Mus musculus: one gene and its partners. Each later gene encodes a partner of the first gene's protein in a complex. Links are inferred from orthologs where the notes say so. Each region holds a gene or a part of one and is shown on either strand. Other genes may lie near its edges. The genes, in order: Ints2, Ints6, Ints1, Ints12, Ints7, Ints4 and Ints9.

The links.
Region 2: the proteins of Ints2 (region 1) and Ints6 are in contact, whole or in part, in a cryo-EM structure (PDB 8RBZ), measured with the Homo sapiens proteins. The link is inferred for Mus musculus from reciprocal best matches to the Homo sapiens genes INTS2 and INTS6. Residues at the interface, in NP_065799.2 of Homo sapiens: Ile855, Asp856, Pro857, Leu858, His895, Arg923, Glu925, Leu926, Lys927, Ala929, Leu930, Ala932, Ala933, Gln934, Ser936, Ala937, Gln940, Ile941, Glu944, Asn1010, Lys1013, Leu1014, Phe1017, Gln1018, Gly1019, Tyr1020, Pro1021, Ile1046, Ala1047, Gln1048; in NP_036273.1 of Homo sapiens: Ile484, Val486, Arg487, Ser488, Arg489, Phe527, Gln528, Val529, Ala530, Leu531, Leu532, Asn533, Phe541, Arg542, Asn543, Ala544, Tyr545, Ile547, Arg549, Leu552, Leu553, Leu556, Met559, Arg560, Asn562, Leu563, Leu564, Lys565.
Region 3: the proteins of Ints2 (region 1) and Ints1 are in contact, whole or in part, in a cryo-EM structure (PDB 8RC4), measured with the Homo sapiens proteins. The link is inferred for Mus musculus from reciprocal best matches to the Homo sapiens genes INTS2 and INTS1. Residues at the interface, in NP_065799.2 of Homo sapiens: Pro40, Leu54, Lys69, Leu72, Arg73, Leu75, Ser76, Gly77, Val78, Glu79, Val81, Asn82, Val85, Gly125, Thr127, Leu128, Glu131, His132, Glu166, Val172, Tyr173, Glu176, Arg322, Gln325, Gln326, Arg329, Gly400, Lys402, Thr769, Met772; in NP_001073922.2 of Homo sapiens: Gly561, Ile562, Ala563, Trp564, Asp565, Lys566, Gly567, Ser982, His1055, Met1056, Thr1058, Pro1060, Glu1095, Arg1096, Thr1098, Ile1099, His1102, Leu1107, Arg1225, Ser1250, Phe1251, Gly1252, Ile1253, Tyr1285, His1288, Glu1291, Val1292, Gln1293, Glu1295, Arg1296.
Region 4: Ints2 (region 1) and Ints12 share a complex: the UniProt entries of both Homo sapiens proteins name them as parts of the integrator complex. The link is inferred for Mus musculus from reciprocal best matches to the Homo sapiens genes INTS2 and INTS12.
Region 5: the proteins of Ints2 (region 1) and Ints7 are in contact, whole or in part, in a cryo-EM structure (PDB 8RC4), measured with the Homo sapiens proteins. The link is inferred for Mus musculus from reciprocal best matches to the Homo sapiens genes INTS2 and INTS7. Residues at the interface, in NP_065799.2 of Homo sapiens: Gln27, Lys28, Val29, Cys48, Arg51, Met52, Cys55, Ala56, Ala58, Asp59, Gln60, Ser61, Trp64, Phe92, His93, Ala186, Glu187, Pro189, Ile194, Val218, Asp220, Ser221, Asn223, Glu224, Ser259, Leu262, Lys263, Arg265, His285, Gly294; in NP_056249.1 of Homo sapiens: Leu38, Gly39, Glu40, Cys42, Glu43, Val46, Arg47, Asn77, Phe78, Leu81, Cys82, Leu84, Lys85, Gln88, Gln89, Asn114, Asp115, Pro116, Val117, Ala120, Ile121, Arg124, Val153, Glu156, Val159, Phe160, Ala163, Leu195, Lys196, Pro199.
Region 6: Ints2 (region 1) and Ints4 share a complex: the UniProt entries of both Homo sapiens proteins name them as parts of the integrator complex. The link is inferred for Mus musculus from reciprocal best matches to the Homo sapiens genes INTS2 and INTS4.
Region 7: Ints2 (region 1) and Ints9 share a complex: the UniProt entries of both Homo sapiens proteins name them as parts of the integrator complex. The link is inferred for Mus musculus from reciprocal best matches to the Homo sapiens genes INTS2 and INTS9.

Annotation. Positions count from the first base shown.
Region 1 is NC_000077.6:86,250,967-86,254,681, reverse strand, and holds part of Ints2 (integrator complex subunit 2), read left to right. Parts: intron 1-2,321; coding exon 2,322-2,424; intron 2,425-3,600; coding exon 3,601-3,714; intron 3,715-3,715. UniProt on the Homo sapiens protein: Component of the integrator complex, a multiprotein complex that terminates RNA polymerase II (Pol II) transcription in the promoter-proximal region of genes.
Region 2 is NC_000080.6:62,694,950-62,698,664, forward strand, and holds part of Ints6 (integrator complex subunit 6), read right to left. Parts: intron 2,007-3,715; coding exon 1,644-2,006; intron 844-1,643; coding exon 750-843; intron 1-749. UniProt on the Homo sapiens protein: Component of the integrator complex, a multiprotein complex that terminates RNA polymerase II (Pol II) transcription in the promoter-proximal region of genes.
Region 3 is NC_000071.6:139,765,484-139,769,198, reverse strand, and holds part of Ints1 (integrator complex subunit 1), read left to right. Parts: intron 1-214; coding exon 215-335; intron 336-702; coding exon 703-780; intron 781-1,255; exon of another isoform or gene 1,256-1,320; coding exon 1,321-1,478; intron 1,479-1,699; coding exon 1,700-1,796; intron 1,797-2,677; coding exon 2,678-2,769; intron 2,770-2,901; coding exon 2,902-2,962; intron 2,963-3,715. UniProt on the Homo sapiens protein: Component of the integrator complex, a multiprotein complex that terminates RNA polymerase II (Pol II) transcription in the promoter-proximal region of genes.
Region 4 is NC_000069.6:133,090,511-133,094,767, forward strand, and holds the start of Ints12 (integrator complex subunit 12), read left to right. Parts: upstream 1-1,344; 5' UTR 1,345-1,466; exon of another isoform or gene 1,467-1,529; intron 1,530-4,257. UniProt on the Homo sapiens protein: Component of the integrator complex, a multiprotein complex that terminates RNA polymerase II (Pol II) transcription in the promoter-proximal region of genes.
Region 5 is NC_000067.6:191,606,502-191,610,216, forward strand, and holds part of Ints7 (integrator complex subunit 7), read left to right. Parts: intron 1-1,318; coding exon 1,319-1,558; intron 1,559-3,155; exon of another isoform or gene 3,156-3,715. UniProt on the Homo sapiens protein: Component of the integrator complex, a multiprotein complex that terminates RNA polymerase II (Pol II) transcription in the promoter-proximal region of genes.
Region 6 is NC_000073.6:97,483,782-97,487,496, forward strand, and holds part of Ints4 (integrator complex subunit 4), read left to right. Parts: intron 1-1,135; coding exon 1,136-1,330; intron 1,331-3,570; coding exon 3,571-3,688; intron 3,689-3,715. UniProt on the Homo sapiens protein: Component of the integrator complex, a multiprotein complex that terminates RNA polymerase II (Pol II) transcription in the promoter-proximal region of genes.
Region 7 is NC_000080.6:65,019,639-65,023,353, forward strand, and holds part of Ints9 (integrator complex subunit 9), read left to right. Parts: intron 1-677; coding exon 678-858; intron 859-3,715. UniProt on the Homo sapiens protein: Component of the integrator complex, a multiprotein complex that terminates RNA polymerase II (Pol II) transcription in the promoter-proximal region of genes.

The DNA of each region.
Region 1 (3,715 bases):
CAACTATTCAGTATTTTTTTTTTTTCCAGACAGGGTTTCTCTGTGTAGCCCTGGCTGTCCTGGAACTCACTCTGTAGACCAGGCTGGCCTCTGCCTCCCAAGTGCTGGGATGAAAGGCGTGTGCCACCACTGCCTGGCAGGATTTTCTTTTTGTGTGTGTACGGAATTGATATAATTGTTTTTAAGATCATCAAAATAATTTTTACATTTTTATTTATTTTATGTGCATGAATGTTTTGCTTGTATATATATCTGTGTACTCTCTGAGTGCCCGGAGTCTGCAGAGCTCAGAAGAGAGCACAGGATAACTTGGACTGGAGTCTTTGATTGGGAGCCATGATGTTGGTGCCAGGACCCAAACCTAGATCCTCTGCAAGAGGGAGGAGTGCTCTTAGCCACTGAGCCATGTTTTCTCTCCAGCCCCCTAAACATCTGTCATTTCACTTGTAGAAATGACTAAGTTGGATAGCACCTTTTTGTTGGGCTTGACTTTGAATCTCTAGAACATCTGTACATGGTGTACATCTGTAATCTAGTGGGCCATGGTAAGGTGGGAGACCAGAGAATCCTTGGAAGCTCCAGGCCAGGTACCTTGGTGTGCACACCAAACAACAGAAAGAGGGACCCATTGGGTTAGAGAGATGGTTTATCAGTTAACAGTACTAATTGTCTTACAGAGGACTCCGGCATGGCTTCCAGCCCCCACCTGGTGGCTTACAATCATCCATGACACAGGCGATGCACAGACAAATCAGGGTTTACAGGAAACACACCAGTGTGAATGAAGGACACAAATACATGTACACAATAACACACACACACACACACACACACACACACACACACACACACACAAAGGTAACTTAAGTCATGGACCTTTGGCTAATGGTTAATTGAAACTTTCCCACACTTAAATTTTCCCACATCTCTTGTAAATACATCCTGGATGTGATAAGAGACATTTTCTTCTGTGGTGATTTTAATGTCTAACATGGCCTTACTATGTGAGAAATTCTGTTACATATTACCATAGGAAATTTAAGGAACATAGAGGTTATTGTCTTGATGTTTTTTTTTGTCTTTAAGTTTCTGCTCCCTCCCCCTTTGAGACCTATCTTCCTATTTTCTTCAGATGACTTCAGACTTCTAATCTTTTCTTATCTCAGTTTTCTGTGTGCTAAGATTGCTGGGGTGTACCACTGTTCCAGGCTCAACGTTGTCATTCCTTGTGGGTTTTTTGTTTGTTTGCTTTTTTGTTGTTTTTCCCTTTGTGTCTATTGATCACTAGAGGTAAATGAATTCTTTTTTTGTCATACTGCTTTAACAGTTAAAAGAGTCCTTTTATTTTGGTTTTTGAATGTAGGTATGATGGTTGTGTTGGCACATATGTAGAGGTCAGAGGTTACCTTCATGAGTTCTTTCTGTGCTTCCTTCCACTGTGGGATCTGGGAGTCACACTCAGTTTTTCAGGCTTGTGTGGCAACGTGTTTTTACCTGCTGAGGCACCTTGCAGACCAATATTCGGTTTTTTAATCAACAGTTTATACATACAACATTTCTTTTTTTTTTTGTTTTTGTTTTTGTTTTTTCGAGACAGGGTTTCTCTGTGTAGCTCTGGCTGTCCTGGAACTCACTTTGTAGACCAGGCTGGCCTTGAACTTAGAAATCCTCCTGCCTCTGCCTCCCGAGTGCTGGGATTAAAGGCGTGAGCCACCACGCTCGTATCATACAACATTTCTATACTGTTTCTTAGCTTGCCTTATCCTTTAATTTTAAGTATCTCTAAAAATGTAGGTTGGAATCAATTCCTCTTACCACCTCTGTCTCTGTCCCTCTCTTCTTTTTTTTGGAGGGGGGACAGAATCTTACTAGGTGCCAGGGTGGCCTTTTAACTTGAGACTTTTCTACCTCAGCCTCTCAAATGCTGAGATTATACAGTAGCCAGCATGGAGTTCTGAGACTACTGCTACTGTGTGTGGATAATAATCATGGTTAACCTGTTCAGATTCTGATAGGATCCCACAGACTTTGCCTCCGTGTGTTAGCCATATTATAGGTAGTGAGTTGAGGCTGGTATGGGACAGCACACCTTCCATCCCAGCAGGAGAGAAGCAAGGACAAGATGGTGTGTTTTATGCCATCGTAGGTCAATAGATTGAAGGCTAGCTTGGTCTGTGTACTGAGTTCAGACCAGCCATAGCTACATAGTGAGACCCCCATCTCAATGGCAGCATAAACCCATGATTTCTGAGCTCAAAAAGAAAACAATTACAGTTTACTTAAACTTGTTCTTTCTTCCTTGTTTCCTTCTTCTCCCTAAGGTGTCAGAGTGCAATGGAGAGTTCTTTTTCAAGTCTTCTGAGCTCTTTGAGAGTGCAGTGTACTTGGAGGAAGCTGCAGATGTCCTTTGTATCTTACAAGCAGGTACTTTACGGACTGACTGCCAAGATGTAGCTCAGTACAGATACAGTGTCTCGGGAAGGGTCACTGTGTGACCCCTCAGCCTGCAGAGCTGTCTGTGTCTGGGTGTGCACTGGATGTCCTGAGACTGGAGGTACAGGCAGCTATAAGCTGCCTGATGGGGATGCTGGGGCTCAACAAGAGCAGTATTATCTCTCCAGCTCAAATTTGGTATTTTAAAGACTATCAAAACGGGCTGTGGTCCCAAATTTGGGACATTAAGACAGGAGTATTGCGTCAAAATCCAGACCATCTTGGTCTACAGAGCGAGATGATATCTTAAATAACTGTGCTTCTCACCCCAAAAAAACCCTTAAAAATCTAAAAGTTATTTACTAGAAACATGTCTTAAAATATTAAATTAAAGGCTGGAGGGATGGGAAGCTTGGGCCTCACAGCCTCACAGTGCCCCCCACGCGCCCCCCACGTGCCCCCCCACGCGCCCCCCACGCGCCCCCCCACGCGCCCCCCACGCGCCTCACGTCTTTTCAGACAGTTCAGATTCTGAATGACTAGCGTTAGATCAGAGACGCAGTGACGTCTACTTTTTGTACAGTTTGCCTTGTTATAGAGATGTTAGCAGTGTACATTTAATTTAATGATTTATAACTTTAATGAGCTCATAAATGTTCATAATATGTTAGATCAAAAAGCAAAGGGCAGAGGGGAAAAATAAAAACTCCGTTTTAGTTAATATTAAAACTACTAATGAGGGGATTAAACTAGATATTAAATATACTTACTATTACAACAATATTAAATACATATATGTATTATTAGAACTAACATACATTTTTCTTATGTACCTTTTTTGCTTTTGCAGATTCTTTTTAATAGGTATATATGGTAAAATAAAAACAAGAAAATATAGAAATGTAAAGATTTTAATTAAAAAGCTTTTTAGACCAGCACTACTCAGGGAAACATCTGCTGTATTCCGGGTTGTGCTGTCCAGTTGGCAGCCCCCCCTCCTGCCTCCCGTGGCCTGTGGGTTAACTGAAGTGTAGCTAATGTGACTGAGGAACTAGTACTTAAGTGAGTTGCATTTTGGTGACCTCTTGGAAATGTCTGGCTATGGAAAAGAGAACCCTGTAGGGGTCACGTCTCAATAGATAGTGGCAGTGGCTTTTTCTCTTCCAGAGCTCCCTTCCCTGCTTCCTATAGTGGACGTCGCGGAAGCCTTGCTGCGTGTTAGAAATGGAGCCTGGTTCTTGTGTCTCCTGGTAGCCAATGTTCCTGATAGTTTTAACGAAGG
Region 2 (3,715 bases), on another chromosome or scaffold:
AGCAGGATATATAGCACAAAATATTTATCAGTAACAAATATAGGTAGACTAAAATCATATATAAAATCATAAATATCATTTATGCTCTTTATAATATTTCTGGACATTCTATTCCTACTACTTTCTTACAGAAAGGCAGGTGCAAGGAACACAACTAGATTCAAGATGCATTAGCATGTGGGCACATACCTATAATTCCAGCATTTGGAAGACTAAGGCAGAAGAAACCTAAGATGGAGGCTAGCTTGGCTATGTGGGAAGATGCTATCTCAAAAATGAACAACACTAAAAATTCAAGGCATGCTTTGAACTGAACAAAAGACAGAACAGACTTTTCATTAAAAGTAGAATAACTTAAGTATTTCAACTTATATGAAAACACATAGCCTTATCTTCAGCATTCCAAGTAGAAGTGTGCCCAAGCTGAAGTAGGCACATAAATCCTTGAGAAATTATGGACTTTTCCCTGGTAAATTATTATATTCTTCTAAAATTCTTGATTAATTTCTCCATTGCTTTTTGGTGGTGTTGTACATCTTTAACTTCTTTTACCTTTCTACATTGATATTTTGAGTGATAAGGGACGTGTGCAACTTTTTTCCATTTTTTCCTCTTTTAAGCTAATTCACATTTCAATTAATCAAATCCATGCACATACATAAACCCAACTGCCTAACTAATGCAATTCAAGTATATATGCAAACCAAAAACTATTTCATTATTGTTTAGAAACACACAAGTTTCTTTACCTGGATGCTTCCTTAATGACATTTTGTAAGAATATTAGCCTTGTTTGTAAACTGCCTTGCACATGCTTCAGTAAGGTGAAGATTCTTTCATATTCTTAAAAAAAGAGAGAGAAGGAAAATCAATTAACTGCCTCTATACTCAGACAAAAAATATTTTACATAAAAATATTACCACTCTTCAAAGCTTTTACAGACCACTGTTAACATGTATGTGCATGAAAGTATGTATCACCAAAAATAAAACCTTCTAAGCACTTTGTATGTGTGTGTGCTCAAGACCCTTCCACTTTCTTATTACACCACCACAGCAGAGTCAGCTATGTTCTGAATGGATGCCAATATTATGCACAATTCTTGTACCACGAGAGTTCTCTTGCATTCATGTGATGGCCTTACGACTTTGGTTTGGAGCCTAAGCACATGATGAAGGTCACTATCATAATTCATTCATAGTGACAGTCAGTAGAGAGGAACTTTGCAAACACACAAGACAGTGTTGAGAATTGAATTTGGGCTATACAGGTGCTCTACCTCTTAGATACACTGTTAACCGAACACCAAGTCATGTAGTATTATCCACCCTATCTGTTTGGGTTAGCTGTTGTAAAATTTCAATTCCTAGTTAGAACAGTCAAGATTCTGTGCCCCTGTCATGGCAAGTACATGTACTACATCTCTAGATAAAGACTTTCTGCTATCTACCACCCATACTAGAACACCTTGAGTACCAAGATTATTTAGTGTTTTCCAGCTGAATCTGAAATTAAACCTTAAAGAATTCAGATATTACTTCATGAGTAATCTAGCATAATACATATGCTTTTACTGATTTGACTTGGTTTTCCCTAATTGAAGACAAAGAAATTAGTAAGTTTTGTCTCTAATTATACATACTTCTTCCTGGCTTTCTGATCTCTTTCATTATTTGTGCTTTTAGTTCAGTGTTGACCTCTTCATGGCTTCTACAATGCATCAATTTCTTTCCTTTGTTGAGTGAAGATGCTGGTATATTCTCTTCGGCACTTTGTTCTTTATTTCTTGGCTCCTCATGATTTTCTAAAAACCCACCAACAGTGAGGTCATTGTTTCCTAAATGTTCATGACCAAGGGCCTCTGTATGATTGGTTGATGGTTCCAAAAGATTAGGGGGAGATGTTAAAAATTCAGTATCCATAGCATTTGGTGTCATGTCTGATGAAAGTTGGTCAGCAACATGATTTTCAACCACATCATCTACTATTGAATCATTAGTGGCTTCTGAAATGAAACCAAAGAAACGGAACGAAAAGTGAGATCTGGTATCAAAGTACAGAATAAAAATGCTAAAGTAACACAATTACTACAAATAACTAAAATTTAAACTTATGACATATTTAAAATAGAAACAACTGTAGCCTGTTTTCTACCTTATTTTAGCAAAGTAACTAAACCAGTTTTCAGTTTATACACCACTAAAATTGCCATTTTTGGCTTAAGAGTCCTACCTACCTCATCTTAAGCCTACTTATCTTTATAAACCTGTTATTCTTTAAAGAGAAAAGTAAACACTGAGTGGTGTTTATTGCTCAAGATTCTGCAAGGAACACCAAATAAGGCACATTACATTTCAGAGCACACTGTTTTCTATCTATCCTTTCAGTTCCTAGCCATGCAAAGTAATCTGGTGCCCACTTCAGCTCATTAGACCAGCAGACCCAAAAGTTTACTAGCTTGCCAATAAATATAAGATTCTTAGACATGACCCCTAAGTTTGATTATTCACCAGCCTCCAGGGCACCAGCTAAACCCTTCTATTCTACCTCTCAATGTAAAGACCTGGTTTCTACTCCTTCCATCTCCCTCTCTCATACTTTCTGAATTATACCCCATGATTTGAAAACACTTCTTCACTGATTATTCTCCACAACTGTTTCTCAGCCTTTGTCTAAGGTTAAGGCTGAAAATCACGGTAATTTCTGCTTTAATGAAAACCACACTCTCCTATTTAAAAAATAAAACAAACAAGCCACTTCTCTCCTTCTCAAATGTGGAGTAGAAATTGCTTTCTCATGAGTGTAAAAGTGAGATAGTCACTGACTCTTTCACCTCTTAAATGTAATTTTAAAATCTCTTGTATTTAATTCTTTATAAAGAAAAAAGCAGCCAGGCAGTGGTGGCACACGCCTTTAACTCCAGCGCTTGGGAGGCAGAGGCAGGCAGATTTCCGAGTTTGAGGCCAGCCTGGTCTACAGAGTGAGTTCCGGGACAGCCAGGGCTACACAGAGAAACCCTGTCTCGAAAAACCAAAAAAAAGCTCTTACGCTCTCAACTTTCTTACTCTCATCTCTAGCTCTCCTTTTCCCCCTCTCTCCACGTGGTCATGACTGGCTTCTCTCTTTCTACCTTCTCTCTTTCTCTCTGCCTTTCTACAATAAAACTCTAAAACCATTAAAAAAAAAAAGGCAAAAAAACTCCTGCACTTTTGAACAATTCTCTTCATACTGAGTTCAGTGCACATGCTCTGGCACCTCGTTCACTGTACATTCGTAAGTCCCTCCTAACATTCTAGGAGGTTCTTACAAGGAAGCCTCAGGAAAGCCTCTGAAATGCTTCCTTTGTGGCCCAGTCCTGACTTGCATGATAACAAGCAGTTTAACAAGGACCCCAAGCACTCCCCTTGCATGCTCCAAATTTATGAAGTTCTGTAGCACCAATGTCTACCAACTTTCACTCCAGCAACTCCTCCACCTTCTTCTTTATGAGGCTTAAGCCCATGCTAGGTCACTTTCAACAATGTTCCAATGATCTAGTTCTAACATCCCACACTATGGTATCTATCAAGTAAACACCAGACTTAATGGCCAGTTTACACTGTCTGTTAGCTGCAGCCATTTAATTGGAGTGATGACAATAGCTGGAAAAATAGGAGCCAGATCTACCAGAGTGGTCCCAATTACCACCGAGGTTTGGATCGTCCACTTCTTAGC
Region 3 (3,715 bases), on another chromosome or scaffold:
GTGGGGGTCCCGGCATGGCTGCCGGAGGAGGTGGGTTTTCTAGAAGCAGCGGTCCCCTCCTGCCGTCTGGTTGAGAGGGTCATCTGTGCTTGGAGCGTGTTCACTCACTCAGGCATCCTGTTGGTTGTTGGGTGGGAGCAGGGGTGGTCTCCAGAGTGGCTCAGCCTGCTGGAGTCCACGGCTGCGGGGCATCAGGAGCCTGTTCACTCCCTAGACCTCGAGGTGCTCCGGACGTTCCAGAACCAGATTGCGGCTATCCAGCGGGATGCGGTGTGGTGGCTTCACACTGTCGTCCCCTCCGTCAGCAAACTCGCCCCCAAGGATTATGTGCATTGGTAAGAGGCAGACCGTCTCTCAGCCTCGCTGTGTCACCTGTGTGGGTACACTTCAGGTGGGAGCCATCACCTCCAAGGCAATCATTGTCCGCATGCCTTTAGAGCCCCAACACCGGTTGATGACAGAAGGAAGGGTCCTGAGCCTGAGAGCCACACGTGAGCCACCTCTCCTCACAGAGGCCCAACCGACCCCTCTCTTGGTCACTAGTGGCCACTGTGGGCAGGTGGCTCAGGAGTCGGGGGGGGGGGGGAAGCCCCAGTACTTTTCCATCAGTAGCTTTTGCCCAAATGGTCCCTGTGCAGCGCTGCTAGGGTGAAGACTCCTTGCACAGCTGCATCCTGACTGACACCTGCTCTGTCCCTGCAGCCTCCACAAGGTGCTCTTCACCGAGCAGCCCGAGACCTACTACAAGTGGGACAACTGGCCACCCGAGAGCGACCGCAAGTGAGGGTTGGGGTGGGCAGGCAGCCAGAGTGCAGCCTGTGGGCACATGCATAGCAGATGCTGGGCGGGTAGCCCCACCCTGAAAACCCAGTACTGTTCTTCTCCTGCAGTGGTGTCTGCCTCACACTCCTGCCCCTTCCCTGGACACACCCCCAGGGAACTCCTCTCCGCTCCCACTCTGTCCTTCCTGGACTGACCCTGTCCCTTCCAACCCACTGGTTACCTGTGTGTTCTGAGACATGGCCTCTCCAGTCCTGCTGTCAGTCTAGCTGCTAGACACTGCTGTCCTGTTGTACCACAAGCATGCTACCTACCCTAGCTGCCATGTTTGCCAGCTGCTCGCCAGGGTTGTGTGCAGCCTGACTGTCACTCGTGAATGAGTGACAGTGGCTTCCCACTCTCTCCCTATCCATTAAAGGCCGGGAACTAGTGTGCATTTCCTACACGGGCCACTAGACTAAGGAAGATTATACCCTCGGGAAGGTGGCCACAGGAGATCATGGTGGCTCCTTACCACCTGTCTCCTAATGTCACCTGCAGTTTCTTCCTGCGCCTCTGTTCAGAGGTCCCCATTCTGGAGGACACGCTGATGAGAGTCCTGGTCATTGGACTGTCCCGAGAGCTGCCTCTTGGCCCTGCAGATGCCATGGAACTGGCTGACCACCTTGTGAAGCGAGCCGCAGCTGTGCAGGCTGATGGTAACACCCTGGCGCCTTGCCCTTCACAAAAGCGATCTCATACCCTCACTGTTGTCAGGGGTCCTGCCACCTGCAGAGCCAGTGTCTTGCCTGTCATGCTGTGGTACCAGTCATACTCACACACCACCAGGAGCCGTCCCAGTCTCTCGTCCCACTTCCTTCCAGCTGCCCATGGGGTGGGCTGGGCCAGACTCGGGAACCCAGGTATCTTTGGATTTCAGATGTGGAAGTTCTGAAGGTGGAGCGGATCCAGCTGATAGATGCGGTTCTGAACCTGTGCACCTACCACCATCCTGAGAATATCCAGCTGCCCCCGGGGTAAGGCTGCGGCCCGCCTCCCAGCAGGTTGGCCTGCCCATCAGCAAGGCTGAGGGGGAGCTGGGTCCCAAGGCCCACGACTGCTTCCTGCTATTCTCGTGTGTGAGAGATTGTTTCTCCAGTAGCTTTTTTTGTTGGGGGGATGGGGGGTGGAGGGGGTTGGAGCCTCAGACTTTGAGGGCTTTTCTTTTTTATTATCTTCCCTTTTGGATGGTCTCTCACTACTGTGTAGCTCAGGTGCCTTAAACTCGAAATTCACCTGCCTCAGCTTCCTGAGTGCTGCTGGGATTAAAGGTGTGCACCTCTATGTCTGGCTTCTTTAAATTTTTTTTCTCAGTACTAGGAGTTGAACCCAGAGTTTTGTGTGTACTAGGCAAACACTGCTACTGATCTATAGTCTGAGCATATGTGTGTGTGTGTGTGTGTGTGTGTGTGTGTGTAAATTTGAATGTAAGTTTTTAGACCCGGTGGTGGGTCTCTTTATCTGCTGAACCATTTATCTAGCTTTTTTGGTTTTAAGCTGTGTGTGTGTGTGCGCAAGTAGATGTGCCACAGCCTGTATGTGCAAGTCAGAGGACACTGTGGGAATCCTGTCCTGCCATTTGTGTCCTGGGGATCAGACTCAGGCCCTCAGCCTTGATGACACCAACTGAGCCATCTTGCTCACCTGTTGTTTGAGCCAGGGCCTCTTACTTTTCCCCTTGGAGTTCCTCAGTTTGGCTGGCTAGCGGGGTCCAGGGCTTTGTGTCTACACACCCTAGCACTGGGGTTATAGGCGTGGACCACTCTGTCTGGTGTTTGTATTTGGGTTCTAGGGAATAGAACTGACCTGGCCTGAGCTCAGGGCACCGAGCTCACAGTGTCACTGCCCTGCCTTCCAGGTATCAGCCCCCAAACCTTGCCATCTCCACCCTCTACTGGAAGGCTTGGCCCCTACTGCTGGTTGTCGCTGCCTTCAACCCAGAGAACATTGGTGAGCTGTTCAGGCCGTGGAAATAGATTCTGGGCCAGAGCCTATGAGAAGCACCAGCTAGGACGCAGGGTGGGGGCTGGGGGTGAGGGAGGCTGGTGTGAGTCCTTAGGGCAACTTCCTGTTGTCCCCTAGGCCTGGCCGCATGGGAGGAGTATCCAACGTTGAAGATGCTCATGGAGATGGTGATGACCAAGTAAGTGGGTGAGCGTCCTTCAGCCCGGGGCGGCACTGTGTATACACTCCCTGGTGTCTGCCTCCTTGTGTGCCATTTCTGCAGCCAAGTCCCTTGTTCACAGGTCTCAGCGTCTTCCCTTGGGCTGGGCAATGTGCTTCTAGCCATCACTATCACCATGGGAACACATGGGCAGGGTGACAGAGCCTGTGCACACATGTTGGGCAGCTCGAACACTTAACGACTAGGGAGAGAGTAGAGTGGATGTGGGCCTGGCCCGTGGGGAATGCAGCAAGTCCACTGTCGCGGTGAGCTGCTCAGTGGCTAGTGTAGGGGATGGTGCCTTGTCATTCCTGTACTGACGTCTGGGAGGGTCAGCATGAGGAATCCTGCTTGTAGCAGGCCCAGCTCCGCCAGGCAGCTCCACTCAGGCAGCAGTAGGCTTGGGTTGCAGCCTAAGGACATGACATTGTAGGGGTCAGGCTTGTGTGTGGCAGTGATATTGAGGACCAGGTATGTGCTGTGATTTTGGGGACTGGTCACGTGTATGGCCGTGGCATTGGCAGTAGGTGTGTGGCCATGGTGTAGGATACTGGCTGTATGGTTTATGCCTGGGAGACATGGGACATGGGACCTGGTGGAAGGGACTTCTCAAGGAGACAGATTTTTGAGCATGCCTCACAGAAAACTGTATGCTTCTGTGAGGCTTTCATCAGGAACAGGGGTCCCATGAAATATGATATAGTGTCACATAGTGTGGCAGAGCAGATGTCC
Region 4 (4,257 bases), on another chromosome or scaffold:
GCATCCCATTTTCCCTTCCTTGAGAGCCCACCCCTTCATGGCCCCTTACTAGTTTAAAGGTGTTTTTCATTAGTACTATAGAACAACGTTCAAACCTCAATCTCCTTTTTGAAGTTAGGCCTCTTTAAAATGATTGAGTCACAATTTCAGCAGCGTCAATGGCAGTGTATGCTCCTCAAAGTGCAGTTTAACACTCATATAGCTTAAAGTTTGATCTACTAAATATGACAGCAAATCAGTTGTATTGTAACAGTTTATTCTCATGGCATTTCAAGACCATATTTACATGTTTAAAGTCACTTCCAGTTCTTGCTTTTTAAATTGTGGGACAGCACGAGGGAAACTTGACAAATGCCACCATCTTTAGCAATAATGTGGTACGAGATACACTCGTTTATTTTTTCTGACCTTAAGGAATTTATGACAAAGGATTTGGTGGTGAGTATGGCGGGGGATGGAGATGGGGTGGTGTAATTCCCCAGTCAAAGTTAGAGAGGTATGTATTAGGGTATTCTTTTTTTTTTTTTTTTCTTTTTTAATTTAAGCCAAAGCAGTTCTCGTGCAAACTCAAGCTTTCTGTTCGTGCTAATAATGGAAGGGCAACGCTGCTTTGGTGGGGATAGCAAATGTCCCCAAATGCAGCAGATCCTAACTGTAAAATAGTACGCATGTACAGCGTCCAATCAGGAAGGGCTGCGACGTAAAACTATGTCTTTGGGGAAAGTTAAGTCGTGCTCCAAGAGGTCTTTTTTCCTGCACTTAACTCAAAACGACCACACAACCCCCTACCAGGCAAAGCTGCCCTGTTGCTCTACCCACGCAGGGAAAAGACTAGAGGGATGGCTCGCAGCCGAGGGGCCCACGCGTCACTCAGCGGAACGGCGCGAAGCCCGTCCATCTGCACCCACAGCAAAAGCCTGCGGTGAATGTGGGGCTGGCAAGACTCTCAAGGGCTGCGAGCCGTCACCGGTCCCACCCTGGCCTCCAAGCCCAGCCCCGCCGACCCCTGAGGGCGAGCGCGGATCTCAGGAGGCGGCGGGGGGACGAGCGGCCCGAGCGCCCTCTTTACCTGGTCGCAGGGGCGCGGCCAGGCAGGGAGGGCGCGGGAGCATGCGGGCGACGACGCGGGCCACCGCGCCTTCCCGCCCAGCTCGAGCCGGGACTCCGAGGCTACTTCTGGAAGCCGCGGCCTGAGGAGGAGCACTCGCCTCCCAGCGAGGCCCTGAGCAGGGGAAAGGGGGCAAAAAGAAGGAAGAGACAACGTGTCTGCGCGTCCCCCGCCCAACGCCATTCATAATCCGGCGGACCGGAAGGAGTGCCCTACGTCACTTCCTGCTGTCTCACTCGGAAACGTTCCCCTTCCGACCTGTTGCGGGAACCTTTGTTTCTCTCTTCTTAAAGCTGGTGAGGGCGGGGACGGATTCGAAGAGAGCTACCGGGAACCGACCGAGTGGCGGGGCGGAGCGGTGAGTGGTGACGAGGGTCCCCGCTTCCTGGCGCCTCGGGGGGAGGCTCGAGACCCCGCGAGGGGCGGCCGGAGCGGAGCTCCGTGGGCTGTCGGTCTCCTCCCTGCTGGAGGGGAGACCTCATAATTTGCGGGGTGGTTGCGTGGCTCCGCCTGAGCGCTCCTCCTAGTCTGGAAGGACTGAGTGAGGAGGGCGCCGAGGACGGTGGCCCGGGGGACCGGGACCGTGGAATTGTCCAAGACCTTTGACCGAGGGTTCCGGAGACCTCTGTACAGCTCCCGTTTTACATCTCTGTTCTGGCCTCCTTGAGAAGGACTTACCCCTATTCGAGGCCGCCCCCAGTGTGTTTTGATTCCATCAAAGAATTGGCATTTCGAAGTGTCTCTTGACTCTCCTTAGCTTCTCTAGCGCTTGGGTTTGTTTTGGAATTGGGGTTTTTACATCCTGAGTTTCCAGACTTCCCCAAAGGCGAAGCACTAAATGGAAAGAAGAAGTTAATTGGAAAGGATTACAGAATCTTGCAGAAACACGAATGGGATGGTCTCGAGTGTTGTAATGAGTATTGCACTCTCTGCAGTTTCCTTTATCTCATGCACTAGCAGGTGATCAACTTAGAAGTTTGTTTGAAACTAGTAGGCAGGGTGAAAGAGATCTGAGAGAAAGCATCTATTTAGGTAGGGGTGCTCAATTTTGTTTGGGGACATCACAGCAGCCTTGAAAAGGACCATTTTGGCAAAAATCCAGTTGATTCAATAAATATTTTTTAAAAACACCTGTGAAATGCTACTTGCCAGGGAAATTCCTGCATTCCCCCTCACATTCCCCCTTCATAAACTTCTGCTCTCATAAAAGCTATACACTAGTGAGATTAATAATTAAAGACAAATGAAAGAGTAGAAAGTGAATGTTGCAGGTCAGAGCACTGTACACATCCCTACCCATAAAATAGACGATTGTCTTGCTTTTTTGTGTTTGAGTTATGTTGAGAGGAAAAGACAGTTGCATTTCATGAATGCCTTTTGCTGAAGTGACTAGAACTGTGTAGAGTAAAAGACAAGAATATTAGACTTCGGTGAGTTAGCTGAATATAATAGTCTGGTCATTGTTTTCAGAGTAACAGAGAAATAAGAGGAAGTGAGAGAAAAACCATACAGAGTCATCTGCCTTGAGATGGTATTTGACAACAAAATGCTCATGACTGCTGAAGAACAAATTGGTAGTGAGACTAAAGCAAGACAGAGCATTGGAACAATAGTGGCAAGAATGAGAAAGCCAGGGAAAGAGAGGTCCAATACCAACTTAAATGTAAAAATACAAAGTATCCCTCTTGTATTCACCTGATCTTAAAATAGGGGAGAGTAGCTAGAGCTAGAAGGGGACTTGGAAAAGGGAAGCTGGACTTAAAACTGACTTGGAGAAATAAAGAGTCAAGAGGCTGCAAGAGGTCCTGTTCAGTAGGAAAATGTAATTGTTCTTTCTGGAAAGATGGGAAGTGAGTTGACCAAACAAGCATGAGAATGCTAAGTGTGAAGCATGCTAGATAGGACTAATAACCTGGAAGAGAATATGGTATTTCTTTCAGTGGCACTTGTTTGGGTGTAGACGGGAGAAGATGCCAAATAGAAGCATGTCTACACAGTAGGTAAACCTTAGAGCAGTGGGATAAGGATGCTTAGAGAACTGGAAGAGAGTCACGGAACGGCTTGTTCTAGAGTGGAAGCCGAACAGGAAGGGAATAGCATACTGCCATAAACAGAGGTAAGCGATGCGGGGAGATTATTGTGTAGGCTGGCAGTTGCAGTGTGTCTTGCATAGCTACAGGTACTTCCTGGTGTGCCCCAACCATCCCTCCCACCAGCGCTAGCTATCACTGCCACATCCTAGGTTATTGATAGTTTTACAGTAATAAGTATTCATTTTCTTCCTTTCTTTGTTTTAAACAGTGCTTAGGTTTTTAAAATAAACTCACACTTAACATATTCTTTCATCTATCTTCCTGTTCTCTATTTACATGTACATTGTTTATGCCACCTACTGCTTCTCTTTGGTTTGAAAAAGAAATAGGAGCAAGAAAGAAGGGGGGGGAGGGAATTAACTAAAAAAAATATTGTCTTATAATACCCCAGATATCTTCTTGAGTTAAAACAGTGGAGAAGGAAAAAAAAAAAGGAAGATATAGTTTGCAAAGAAGGAGGCTGTTGATTGTAGTCATAGAGAATGGTGTAGCAGACTTCACATTTCACTAGCTGAAAATGAAGCTTTCTGTTAATGAACTAAATAAAATTATTTATAAAATGTTTTAGAAGATCATAATATATGCTTAATTAAAGGTAATGTCAGGGAGAGAGAAAGAAGGGCCTGGCCCTAATATTATGTAAATAAACCCCTGAGGTCAGAGGTTGATAAATGGAGTCATGGAATTTCTAAGCTGAGCAATACAGAAGAGGTTCTATCTGAGTACTGTTATAGCTTTTCTGATGGAACAAGTCAGAGGAACACTTCCGTGTTGGGAGCTGTAAAACATGATGTCATTAGTGAGAATAGTAAAGACAGATAGATAGTGCTTGAGGAAAAAGGAGGAACTATAGAGGAATGTGTTATTAATGACTGGGCTAATAAAGCTAGTTTGAGGAGGGTGAAGGGCTGAGCTCAGTAAAAACACTGGATGGATTTGCAGGATGAGCATCTGTGCTTTAAAGAAGCCATGATGTATTGGGAGAAAAGGGAAATTGGAAGTTGCTGGATAGTTTAGAATAGTGGTCTCTAAATCTTTCTTATACACACACGCTCA
Region 5 (3,715 bases), on another chromosome or scaffold:
GCACTTCTAGGTTTATTGTACCATGTTGTCCATAGGTGTTAAGTAGGACTCTTGATTGCTTCTGTCCTTTGGAAGCTTGTCTGGTACCTCTGGTACAATGTGAAGGCTAGTCCTCAGGAGGAGGCTCTCAGGTCAGTTCCAGAACAGGAGCCTCTGTGCCCTGTTTCTGAAGATGCCAACAATTACAGATTTTAATAAGATTTTGGACTTAGTATAGTGGGCTGTACATAGAGGATCAGGAAGGTTCCAGGGTTAGAGGCTCCTCCATGTGTAGTAGGATGTGCCATTCATATTGAAAGGACTGCATCGAGTGACTAGTGAGAGGGAAAGTATGGAGGCCATCAGATGTGTTAAAGAATGCGGACTTGACTTTATAGGGAGTGAGGAGACATTAGAATTTTAGGATAGTGGAGACAGTCTTGCCTTTGTTGTAGTTATGTTTGTGTAGTGTGTGCCCAACTGTTGAAGACGTGTATATATATTTCAACTTGTTGAAAGCCACCTAGCTGATGTGGGCTCCAGCTAAGGTCCACTTTGTGTTCATTGCGTGTGCCTCTCAGCACACTGGCAGCTTATGTGGTTGTAGTACGAAGGAAAGACAGATGGGCCCATCTTTTCCTGAGATTAGAACTAGTGGGACGTTTGTGGTGTTGTAGAAGAATGGGAGGGAGAATTTTAGAAACATAAATCAGTGGTGGAAAGTGAGAGGCATCCATGTTTTTAGTTTTGTTAGCTAGGATAACACATAGGTCATAAAGTAGGCCCAACAGAGAAAATCTGCAGCTGTCAGCTCTTAACTTTCAGCTGAGCAATAAATAAGAGAAAATTAGAAGCGTCTTCCCATACTGATGCTCACAAAGTCATTGAGGGCGTCTGAAACCAAGTCATCAGTAAACCGAACATGCATGTGCTATGCGGAGCAGTGGCCTCATAAACATTCTAGCGTCCGTCACCATCCTGAGTTCTGCTGTGGGTGGTTTCCGAGCACTCTGCAGAAGCAGGTCCTGGGAAGTGCTGTAGCTCTGCCTCCTTAGGGTTAGCCTCATGATTTTCATCTGCCTATTGAAATTCTGGACATGTTTTAAGCATAGCACACTTCACTGGTGTGGGATTCAGAATCCTGTGTTGCTTATGGAGAAAAATGGTGAACCTACAAAGAACGTGCCCGTGAGTCCCCATAACTTAAACAAGGTGCTCTTTAAAGTGTAGCAGTGCACTCTCCCTCTTGCCCCTTTGCAGTACTGGGGACTGAAGCGAGAGCCTCAGTGCAGGCTCGGCAGTCCTCCACTCAGGGGTAACCAGGCTGTTCTCTCTGCAGAGTGCTCTCAGCTGTATGGTGAAGCTGGCCAAGGGCCGGCCCCATCTGAGCAGGTCAGTGGTTGACACTCTGCTAACTCAGCTGCACAGCTCTCAGGATGCTGCCCGGATCCTCATGTGCCACTGCCTGGCAGCCATTGCCATGCAGCTCCCGGTACTGGGCGATGGAATGCTTGGGGACCTCGTGGAGCTCTACAAGGTGATTGGACGATCAGCCACAGACAAGCAACAGGAACTTCTGGTAAGGAACTGCTTTTTCCTGCTGTAAATGACTAGGAACTAGTCTGTTGGCAGATACCTAAGAATGCCAGCACTAATGTTGGACTTTATTTGAAAAGCAAACAGGTTAACGTAATTCTGCAGGACTGGGGATATAGTGCAATGTACAGTGTTTGCCCAACATGTAGAACACCCTAGCTTTCATCACAGTACTACAAAAAATATTTAAAATTAAGGCAGTACCAGTAACTTTTGTTGTTTTCTTTTGAGACAGAGTGTGACTGTGTAGTGCAGGTGTGCCTTGAACTCAGGGCAGTACTCTTGTCTTGAACTCACAAGCACTGGCTGGGATTACAGTCGTGAGTCTTTGTTCCCAGCTACCAGGAGCTTTTTCTAAAAGTTAAACCTCTTAGGAATCTGATAAAAATGCTGAACTAGAAGCCATAACATACACACAAAGGATCTAGTGCAGAACCTTAGCCGTGCACACCCTTGCGAGCTGCCTTGGACCCTGAATTCATGTGTGCTTTGATCATATTGGTCTAGACAACCTTTTTTTCCTTGCTGTCCTCCATCCCTCTGGCTCTTACATTCTTTCTGTCTCCTCTTCTGAGGGTTCTCTGAGACATAAAGGGAGGGATTTGATGGAAACACTCTGTTTAGAGCTGGATATTTCAAAGTCTTTGGCTTGCTGTATAGTATGTCAGCCAGGTTTGTTTTTTATTGAAGTGGCATTTGAGCTAGTGATCTCTGTCCTTTTTTATTAGCACTACTAAAGCCAATTTTAAAAAGAAAACACGAGGGGTTTTTTGTTTTTAATCTAAGAAAGAATACAGTAAAATGTTTGCATCTGACTTTGCTGAAGGAAACAATGCTAGCCCGGGCATTGTGATGCATGCCTTTCATCCAGCACTAGGGATGCAGAGCGAAGGCATCCTGGTCAACATGGTGAGTTGTAGGTCAGCTGGACCCAGTCTCAAAAAAGATGAGAACAGTGTTAGGTATAGAGTTAAATCTACCCCAGCTCTGCTCCACCCTGTCTGCAGCTTCAGGAAGGAGTGGTATTGAGCTCACAGTCTGAGAGGGCTCTGTCCAGCATGGCGGGGAGGGCGTGGCCACCGGAGCCTCACAGGGTGGCCATATCACATGATGCCAGGAAGCAGAGAATGATGAGCACCCCGTGTGTAATCTTTGTCATCGGTCCAGGGTTTCAGCCACGGCATGTGCTGTCCCTGCTGAGGATAAGTCATCCCACCTTGGTGAAACTCTGGAGAAACCTGAGGTGTGAGCCCATGATGTCCTAATTAGGGTGTTAGTTACTGGGATGAAGTGTCAAGACCAGAAAGCCAGTTGGGGAGGAAAGGGTTGGTTTGGCTTACACTTCCACATTGCTATTCATCATTGAAGGAAATCAGGGTGGGGACTCAAGCCAGGTAGGAACCTGGAGACAGGAGCTGGTGCAGAGACCATGGAGGGATGCTGCTTACTGGCTTGTTCCTCATGGCTTGCTCAGCCTGCTTTCTTATAGAACGCAGGACCAACATCCCAGGGATGGCATTACCACAATGGGCTGGGCCCTTCCTCATTAATCACTAATTAAGAAAAAAATTACCCTACAGGTATGTCTACAACCTGATCTTACAGAGGTTCCCTCTTCTCAAATGACTTTAACCTAACACAGCTATCCAGCATACATGGTAATTTTAAATCCAGTCAAATTGAAAGTGAAGGTGAACCATCACACTCCCTATGTTAACTCCTCCTCCTGTCTTTCCTCTGTGCACTGCACTTGCACTTGGGTGACCTCAGCATATGCATTGCTTTGCATGTCTTAGCTTTGTGCAGAGGTTATGCTGCCAGTCAACTTTCACCGTTTGCCTTCCTTGCTAGTAATTTATATTGATCTCTGGGTTTATTTCACTGATGGATTTCACTGGGTGACTATATCATAATTCATTTTTCCTTAATTGTGAGCCTTTTTCTCCTAGTTACTTTATAAGCAGTGCTCTGAGTAAAAGGAATACATTGCTTAATGACTTAAACATGATAAATGAAATATCAACAGAAGGTAAGTCCACTTTGTTCCTTTGTATCGTACTTAGCTATTTGGTGTGATGTGCATAAGCGCATGAGGAGGTCTGGGGACAACTTCCCTTTCACTGTGGAAGGCTGAGGTATT
Region 6 (3,715 bases), on another chromosome or scaffold:
TATTTTATACAAAACACTTTAGCTTTAAGACCTGATTGAAAGTTCAGCAGGTTAGTTCCTCCTGCTGCTTCCATCCACTGTGTGAGCTCAACTACTTGATTCCATCACCCAGTGCTGCTGTCCCTGACGGACAGCGTCTGTATGTATGTCCCTGCCAGTGTGTGTTCCTCGGTGGCAGCAATAACAGGGCCCGGCTCCATAAGACGCTATTGACAATGGCAGAGATTGCTCCCTTCTTCACGTATCCCCTCTAGGGAAAAACCATTCCTCTCTCTTGCACCAGCTGCAGTCCAAGTAAATCTATTTTAGAGCCTCCCGAGTGCTGGGGTTACAGGTGTGTACCCTCAGTTGTTGGAAAAACTAACTTTTTAATTTTGTATTTTAAATTGTGTATGTAGAGTTATCATAGAGTGATAAAATGAGATCTTAGTACTCCTGGTGTTTTTTCTTTGTTATACAGATGAGGAAGGGGCGGGAACTGATGTGTGTTTAGTGCTTATCACAGTACAGTAAATACAGGATGCTTTAGGTTTCTCACCTATTCCCCCCCCCCAATGGTCTTGGAATGCCATTTATAGATGAGAAGGCTTCACCTTGCTAGCAGTGTACAATTCTTTTGACTTCAAAGCTGCTTTTTTCATGTTATGTAGTGTTCCTGACTATAATCATCCTGATAGAGAAAATTGGAGGGAAATGATTGTTACCTACACTAAAATACTATATTAAAGAGTAAAAAAAAATATTGAGTATGACATTTATCTTATAGTTTGTTTTCTATGTCTGCCCGTTGTGCCAGGACGTAAGGAACCTATAGTGATAGGTTCCCTTCTATACAAATTTAAATATTTTTGAAACATTTATGTATTGTGTGTGTGTGCGTGTGCGTGTGCGTGTGCGTGTGCGTGTGTATGTTTAAGAGTTGGCTTTTTTTCTACCATGTGGGTTCTGGTGATGGAACTCAGGCCATAATCAGGCTTGGCAGCAAGCACTTTTACCTGCTGGCCTCTGGATACTGTGTTTCTTAAGTTCTATTAGCTAAGCATATGTGTTAGAAGGGAAAAATTATTTCCATACAACGAACACAAGTTAAATTTACAGACTGTTTTCACATCTTACCGTCTTTACTGTCTTACAGCAGCAGCAGGAGGAAATTGCTACCAAGAAGCTCCGATTAACAAAGCCGAGCAAATCTGCCGCTCTCCACATAGATCTGTGTAAAGCCACCTCCCCAGCAGATGCTTTGCAGTACCTACTCCAGTTTGCCAGAAAGCCTGTAGAAGCAGAGAGTGTGGAGGGGGTAGTCAGGATTCTCTTGGAACATTATTACAAGGTAAGAAAGCCTCGAGGACATGGTGGGTTGTTTGTCAGAGCCATACCGTGTCTGCAGAGTGGGTCCATGCTGCAGAAGCAGGAAGGGACTGGATACCAAGATTAGAATGAGGTAAGTGCTGTCCTCAGGAGCTTGCAGGGTAGTCAGAGGAGATAGGTATGCAAATGACTTGCTTAAGGTACTGTGAGCTCTGTGTGAGTGAAGCGAGAACGCAGAGGAAGACTTAGTATCAGCCATGTCTCCTTGCTTCGTTCACCTCTGGAGTGTCGTGCCCATCATCCTGGTGTTCCTGGTTTAATTTAAGGCCCTCATGCCTACTGGGATAACCCTCTTAGTTTGTTTTTAAAGCAAAGTGGCATTTTTTTCTTTATAGAATGCCTTGCTGTGTAGCCCAGGATGGCATCATATCCCCTAGAGCTGGAGTTACAAATAGTTGTGAGCTGCAATCTACGTGTTGGTAATCAAACCCAGGTCTTCTGAAAGAGCAACAAGTGCTCTGAACTGCCTAGCTATCTCTCTAGCTCCTATTTACATTCATTTTTGTAATGAGTTTGTCTTTATATAGCTCTGGCTGGTTTTAACCACTTTCTCTTTCTCTGTACTTATACATTCAGATTAATTTTATAGAAAATGGTGTTCCCAAAGTAATGTATATGTTAAATGGCATAGCATGCAGGATTTTAGGTTTTCTGAACATATTTGTTTTCCTTTCCCTTGCTTTAGGCCTGGTTGTATCTGGTGCTTCCTTAGAAACTAAATGAGCTGGTGGTAGTTCATGCCTATCATCCCAGAGTTGGGAAAGTTGAGGCAGGGGGATTGAGAGATTGTCGTCAGCCTGAGCTGCACAGTGAGCTTCAGGCCATCTTGAACTATAGAAGCAGACCTGTCTCAGGAAACCCAAAACCAGGCCAGTGAGTCTGGCTCAGTCAGGGAAAGGTGCTTGCTGTATAAAACTGACTACCTGAATTTAATTCCCAGAACCCATATAAAGAAGCTGGGTGCTGGCCAGGCAGTGGTGGTACACACTTTTAATCTCAGCATTTAGGAGGAAGAGGCAGGCAGTTCACCGAGTTTGAGAGTTGGAGGCCAGTCCAGGACAGCTACCCTGTCTTGAAAAACTGACAGATAGATAGATAGATAGATAGATAGATAGATAGATAGATAGAAAACAAGTAAGCGGGAGGGAGATAGAGAGAGAGAGACAGATAGACAGACAGAGAGAGAGACTGGATACTGTGGCATATTGGTAATTCCAACATACCTATGGAGGGAAAGAAAGCAGAAGCAGAGGACTCTCCTGGAAGTTTGTATGGTACATGTATACATGCACACGCACGCACACACACACACACACACACACACACACACACACATACACAAATAATAAATAGGAAATAGAAAATAAAACCACAACCAAAAATATATAGGTGAGGGGTGTGTATGTGTGTGTGTATGTGTGGGTGTGTGTGTGTGTGTCACATGTGGATGGCAGTTGATTTTCCAACCAAAATTAAATATTTTTGTCATTGGAATAGAAAGGTAGTAACTTTAATGCCAACACTGACAAGACCCCTCCCACCCCATCCAATTTCATATATATTCATTAAACATCTTTCAATGTTGGGATTGTGCCATGTACTTAACTATACAATATAATACAGAAAGGGACTTATCACAGCAGTCTTCGAGATTAGCCTCTGACTCTACACTAAAATGGCCAGGCATCTCCTTTCCCTTCTCCCTGGAAGCTAGAGCCTAGGCACATGGTCTGGCCTCAGTCAGGTGCACTGCTTGTCCCAGCCTTCTACTCAGGATCTGGGGGTCCACAGAGTCAGTGGTGAAGGGTTCTTTCCAGTGGCTGCCCTAGCTCCCACTCTCCGTCCATTCCAGCAGTGATGCTGGCTGCCCAGTATCAGCCATGTTGGTGGGGATATGGCTATGACATCCAACATTGACTGAGTAGTGGAGATAAGATATTTTAGTGTCAAGTGCACATTTTTAATTTTAAAAGTTAACTACTTCAAGAAGACATAAACATTTCCATTTGCAGTATTGAGTATAACATTGATGGAGCAAGGCTATCTCTTGAGGTGTATGAAGTTAATTTTTCAGAAATGAAGCTCTGGAATAGTTGGATCTTTGGATATCCTTTGTGACGTCAGTTGCCTGTGCCCTGTGTGTTTGATAGCTGAGAGCAGAGCATCAAATGACAGTTGTTTTCTGTTTTTTGTTTTTTCTAGGAAAATGATCCATCTGTGAGACTGAAAATTGCATCACTCTTGGGATTATTATCAAAGACGGCAGGATTCTCTCCAGACTGCATAATGGACGACGCCATTAACATACTACAGAATGAAAGTAAGCTGCAACTAAAAGCTGCATAGT
Region 7 (3,715 bases), on another chromosome or scaffold:
GGTTCAGTCAGTCCATTATCATTATCATGGTGGGAAGCATGGCATCATGCAGGCAGACATGGTGCTAGAGACAGAGTTGAGAATTCTACATTTTGATCTGCAGGCAGCAAGGAAAGACTGTTCCATACTGGGCAAAGCCTGAGCATATAAGACCTTAAAAGCTCACCCCCACAGTAGCAAACTTCTTCCAACAAGGCCATGCCTCCTAAATAGTACCACTTCTTATGGGCCAAGCACTCAAACACATGAATCTGGTGGCACAAAACGGAAGTCTGACTGGAGGATGTTTAGAGTAGGGGGAGGAAGTGAGAAGCACTGCAGTGCACCACCCATGGATTTTGAAATGTGTAGTGGATACTTAGGATACTGAAGCAACCTGGAGCCAGGGGTAGCTGTTTAATCCTTCTGCCAGAGCCAGGGAAATGCCTCCTTTTGGTTGATGGGGAGTGGTTTCACAAGTTTCTGAGAAATACTAACTTTATGTAACTGCCAGAAGTCATCCCATAGCTCAGGTTGAGCTTGACCTTACAAAAGCTACATAGCAAGACCCTGTCTCAAAAATAAATCATATCATACACAGGAGAAGAGAAATAATGTAATTGTCATTTTAAAGGTTGTATTTGTCCTTTCTAACATTGTTCTTTTGGTACCATCTTCTCTCTCCTCAACTTTTCCAGCTCTGACAGTTCGGAATGGAGGAAACGTGTTGGTCCCTTGCTATCCTTCAGGCGTGATCTATGACCTCCTGGAGTGCTTATATCAATACATTGACTCCGCTGGCCTCTCCAACATCCCTTTCTACTTCATCTCCCCCGTTGCCAACAGTTCACTCGAGTTTTCCCAGATTTTTGCTGAGTGGTAAGTCAGTAGTATCCTTTCTCTGAGTTCTGCTTAAGTATGTTCAGTCAGTAAAAATGAAAATAACTGTGATTTCTTAAGAGTACTTAAGACTTCATGCATGTGCATGTGTGTGAACTACTGAAAGTCAAATCCCATACATTGCTAGCATTTAGAAGCATAGGTACGAAGAAAGGATAAGAAAGCCCCAAGCTCATACTGTTGTAATTACCTACATCTGATAAGAAAAGCTAGATCTTTATTTCCATAGCCAGTTTATCAAAGATCCATTTTATTATACCAAGAAGCTGACCAACTCCTAGAGCAGACACTTAGACATAGGTTACTAAGCTTTGACCATGTTCGAAGAGTTTGAGTCTAACTCCCCTGGTCAAAAGAGGGAAGTGGAGGTAGATGTAATTTCTAAATTCTTAAGAGCCATGTGACACAGAATAGAATATGTCCAATCAGTTTTAGTAGTATGGTGACCAAATGGACACACAGCAGTTACTAAGTTCCTCCCTGAAAATGGAATTTTTACATTACCATGTTATAACATATCCCAGTGTTATGCCCCTCACCCCTCTCCTGGTTTTGGTGTGTGGGTTTTTCCTTCCCATTGAATTGTGGGCGTCTCCCTGAGTTGACTCTGCTCCCTTTGGTCAATAGGACTGCTCCTTGTCTTTACTTCTCACTCGTTTTTATCCTTACACACAAGTGTCTTCCCCACATAGGAGACCCCAAGCAGCATTTGCAGATGAAGTTAACATGTTAGAAACTTGTTTTCATTCAGACCCCCAATAAAAATACTGCAGCACACTCCTGGGTCACGCCCTGTGGGCTGAGTAGACAGTGCCCCACCATATCAGGCCTGTGCCTACAAGAATGGTCGTCACCCAGCACAGGGATTGGAGTCCTGCAGGGTCTTTCTGTGAGTTTGTTTTGCAGGTGTGTGTTAGTTCATAAGTGGGCAAGCCATGTTATGTAGAAAAACAAGTTATAGAAAATAATAGAGACCTGGAGCCCACAACACCACTGTCCAAATAAACCCCATCTGACCTAGAAATCATGTTGAGTAGTTAACATTTTTTTAGATATCACCTTGTCAAGTTTCACTTCTTAATTTTAAATTCTGATTTTGTTTTCCTAAAGGGGTTGCAGCTCAGTAGTGCAGTGCTTATGTAGCAGAAAACATTCAATAACACTAAACCATTATGAAACCTTGTGAAGAGCAGCAAATGTTTGTTTTCCCAGCACTTGGGAAGCTGAGGCAGGAGGAGAACAGGTTCAAGGCCAGACTGCTACAGCCCATACCTTGTCTCTTCTTTCTTTGAAAGAAAAAAATGAGCACACAGTCAGCACGTACTGAGCACACAGTAAGCTCACAGTGAGCACACAGTGAACACACAGTGAGCATACAGTGAGCACACAGTGAGCATACAGTGAGCACACAGTGAGCACACATTGAGCTCACAGTGAGCACACAGTAAACATACAGTGAGCACACAGTGAACACACAGTGAGCATACAGTGAGCACACAGCACACAGTGAGCACACAGTGAGCATACAGTGAGCACACAGTGAGCATACAGTGAACACACATTGAGCACACAGTGAGCACACATTGAGCTCACAGTGAGCACACAGTAAACATACAGTGAGCATACAGTGAGCATACAGCATACAGTGAGCACACAGTGAGCATACAGTAAGCACACAGTGAACACACAGTGAACATACAGGGAGCACACAGCATACAATGAGCACACGGCCAGCGCACGTGGCTGCAGTATTGTCTCCTCACATCACTCACATCTATATACTTAGCTTATTACCTTCTCATTGGCTGGCAGGGCTTTTCCTTTTAAGAATAAATCTTAAATTGAAACTATTCTGTCTATATATGATGATAGCATTTGCCTTAGGTAAGTTACTAAAAGTGGAATTACTGGAATAAAGGGTAGGAATATTTTTAATGTTCATTATCTAATACTACTTGCCAAAATATTTTTATGTAAATTATTCCTTTTTTGCCCATTTACCTCTTAAAGGTTTTATATCTCTATTACATATTTGAACTCTGTGTATATATTAAAGATATTAACTTTTTGTTAACATACTTTAGCCATTTTTCCCAGTTTGATACTTTTTTTTTAATTTTATCTTGGATTTCTTTCAGTTTAAGTAATAAACTTTGTACCTTAGAATAATTTTAGATTTACGGAAAACCATAATGACAATAGAGTTCCCGGACACCTTTCACCTACTTTACCCCAATGTTAGCATCGCTCAGGGCAAACACATTTATCAAAACTAAAAAAGGGAGTGGAGGAGCTCTGAGTACTGCTCCAGAGGACCCAGATTCAGTTCCCAGGACCTGCATGGCAGGTCACAGTTGTCTGTAACTCCAGTCCCAAGGGATGGTAGGCCCTCTTCAGCCTCTGCAGGCTGTGCACTGCACATGTGCTACACAGACAGACATGCAAGCTGAGCACACATACACATAAAATGAAAATAAGCAAATCTTCAGAAAAGAGAACAAGAACTAAGAAGTAATAAGAGAGCAGGGGTAGCAGTGTATGCTTGCAATCTCAGCAGTTAGAACCCTGAGGGAAGGAAAATCCAGAGTTCAGAGCTAGCCTCAGCTACATAGTGAGTTGAAGCCAGCCTCAGCAACATGAAACCCTGCTTCAAAGAAGTGGTGTTAGCCGGGCAGTGGTGGCGCACTCATTTAATCCCAGCACTTGGGAGGCAGAGGCAGGTGGATTTCTGATTTTTAGGCCAGCCTGGTCTACAGAATGAGTTCCAGGACAGCCAGGGATATACAGAGAAACCCTGTCTTGGAAAAAAAAAAAAAAAAAAAAAAAGGAGGAGGAG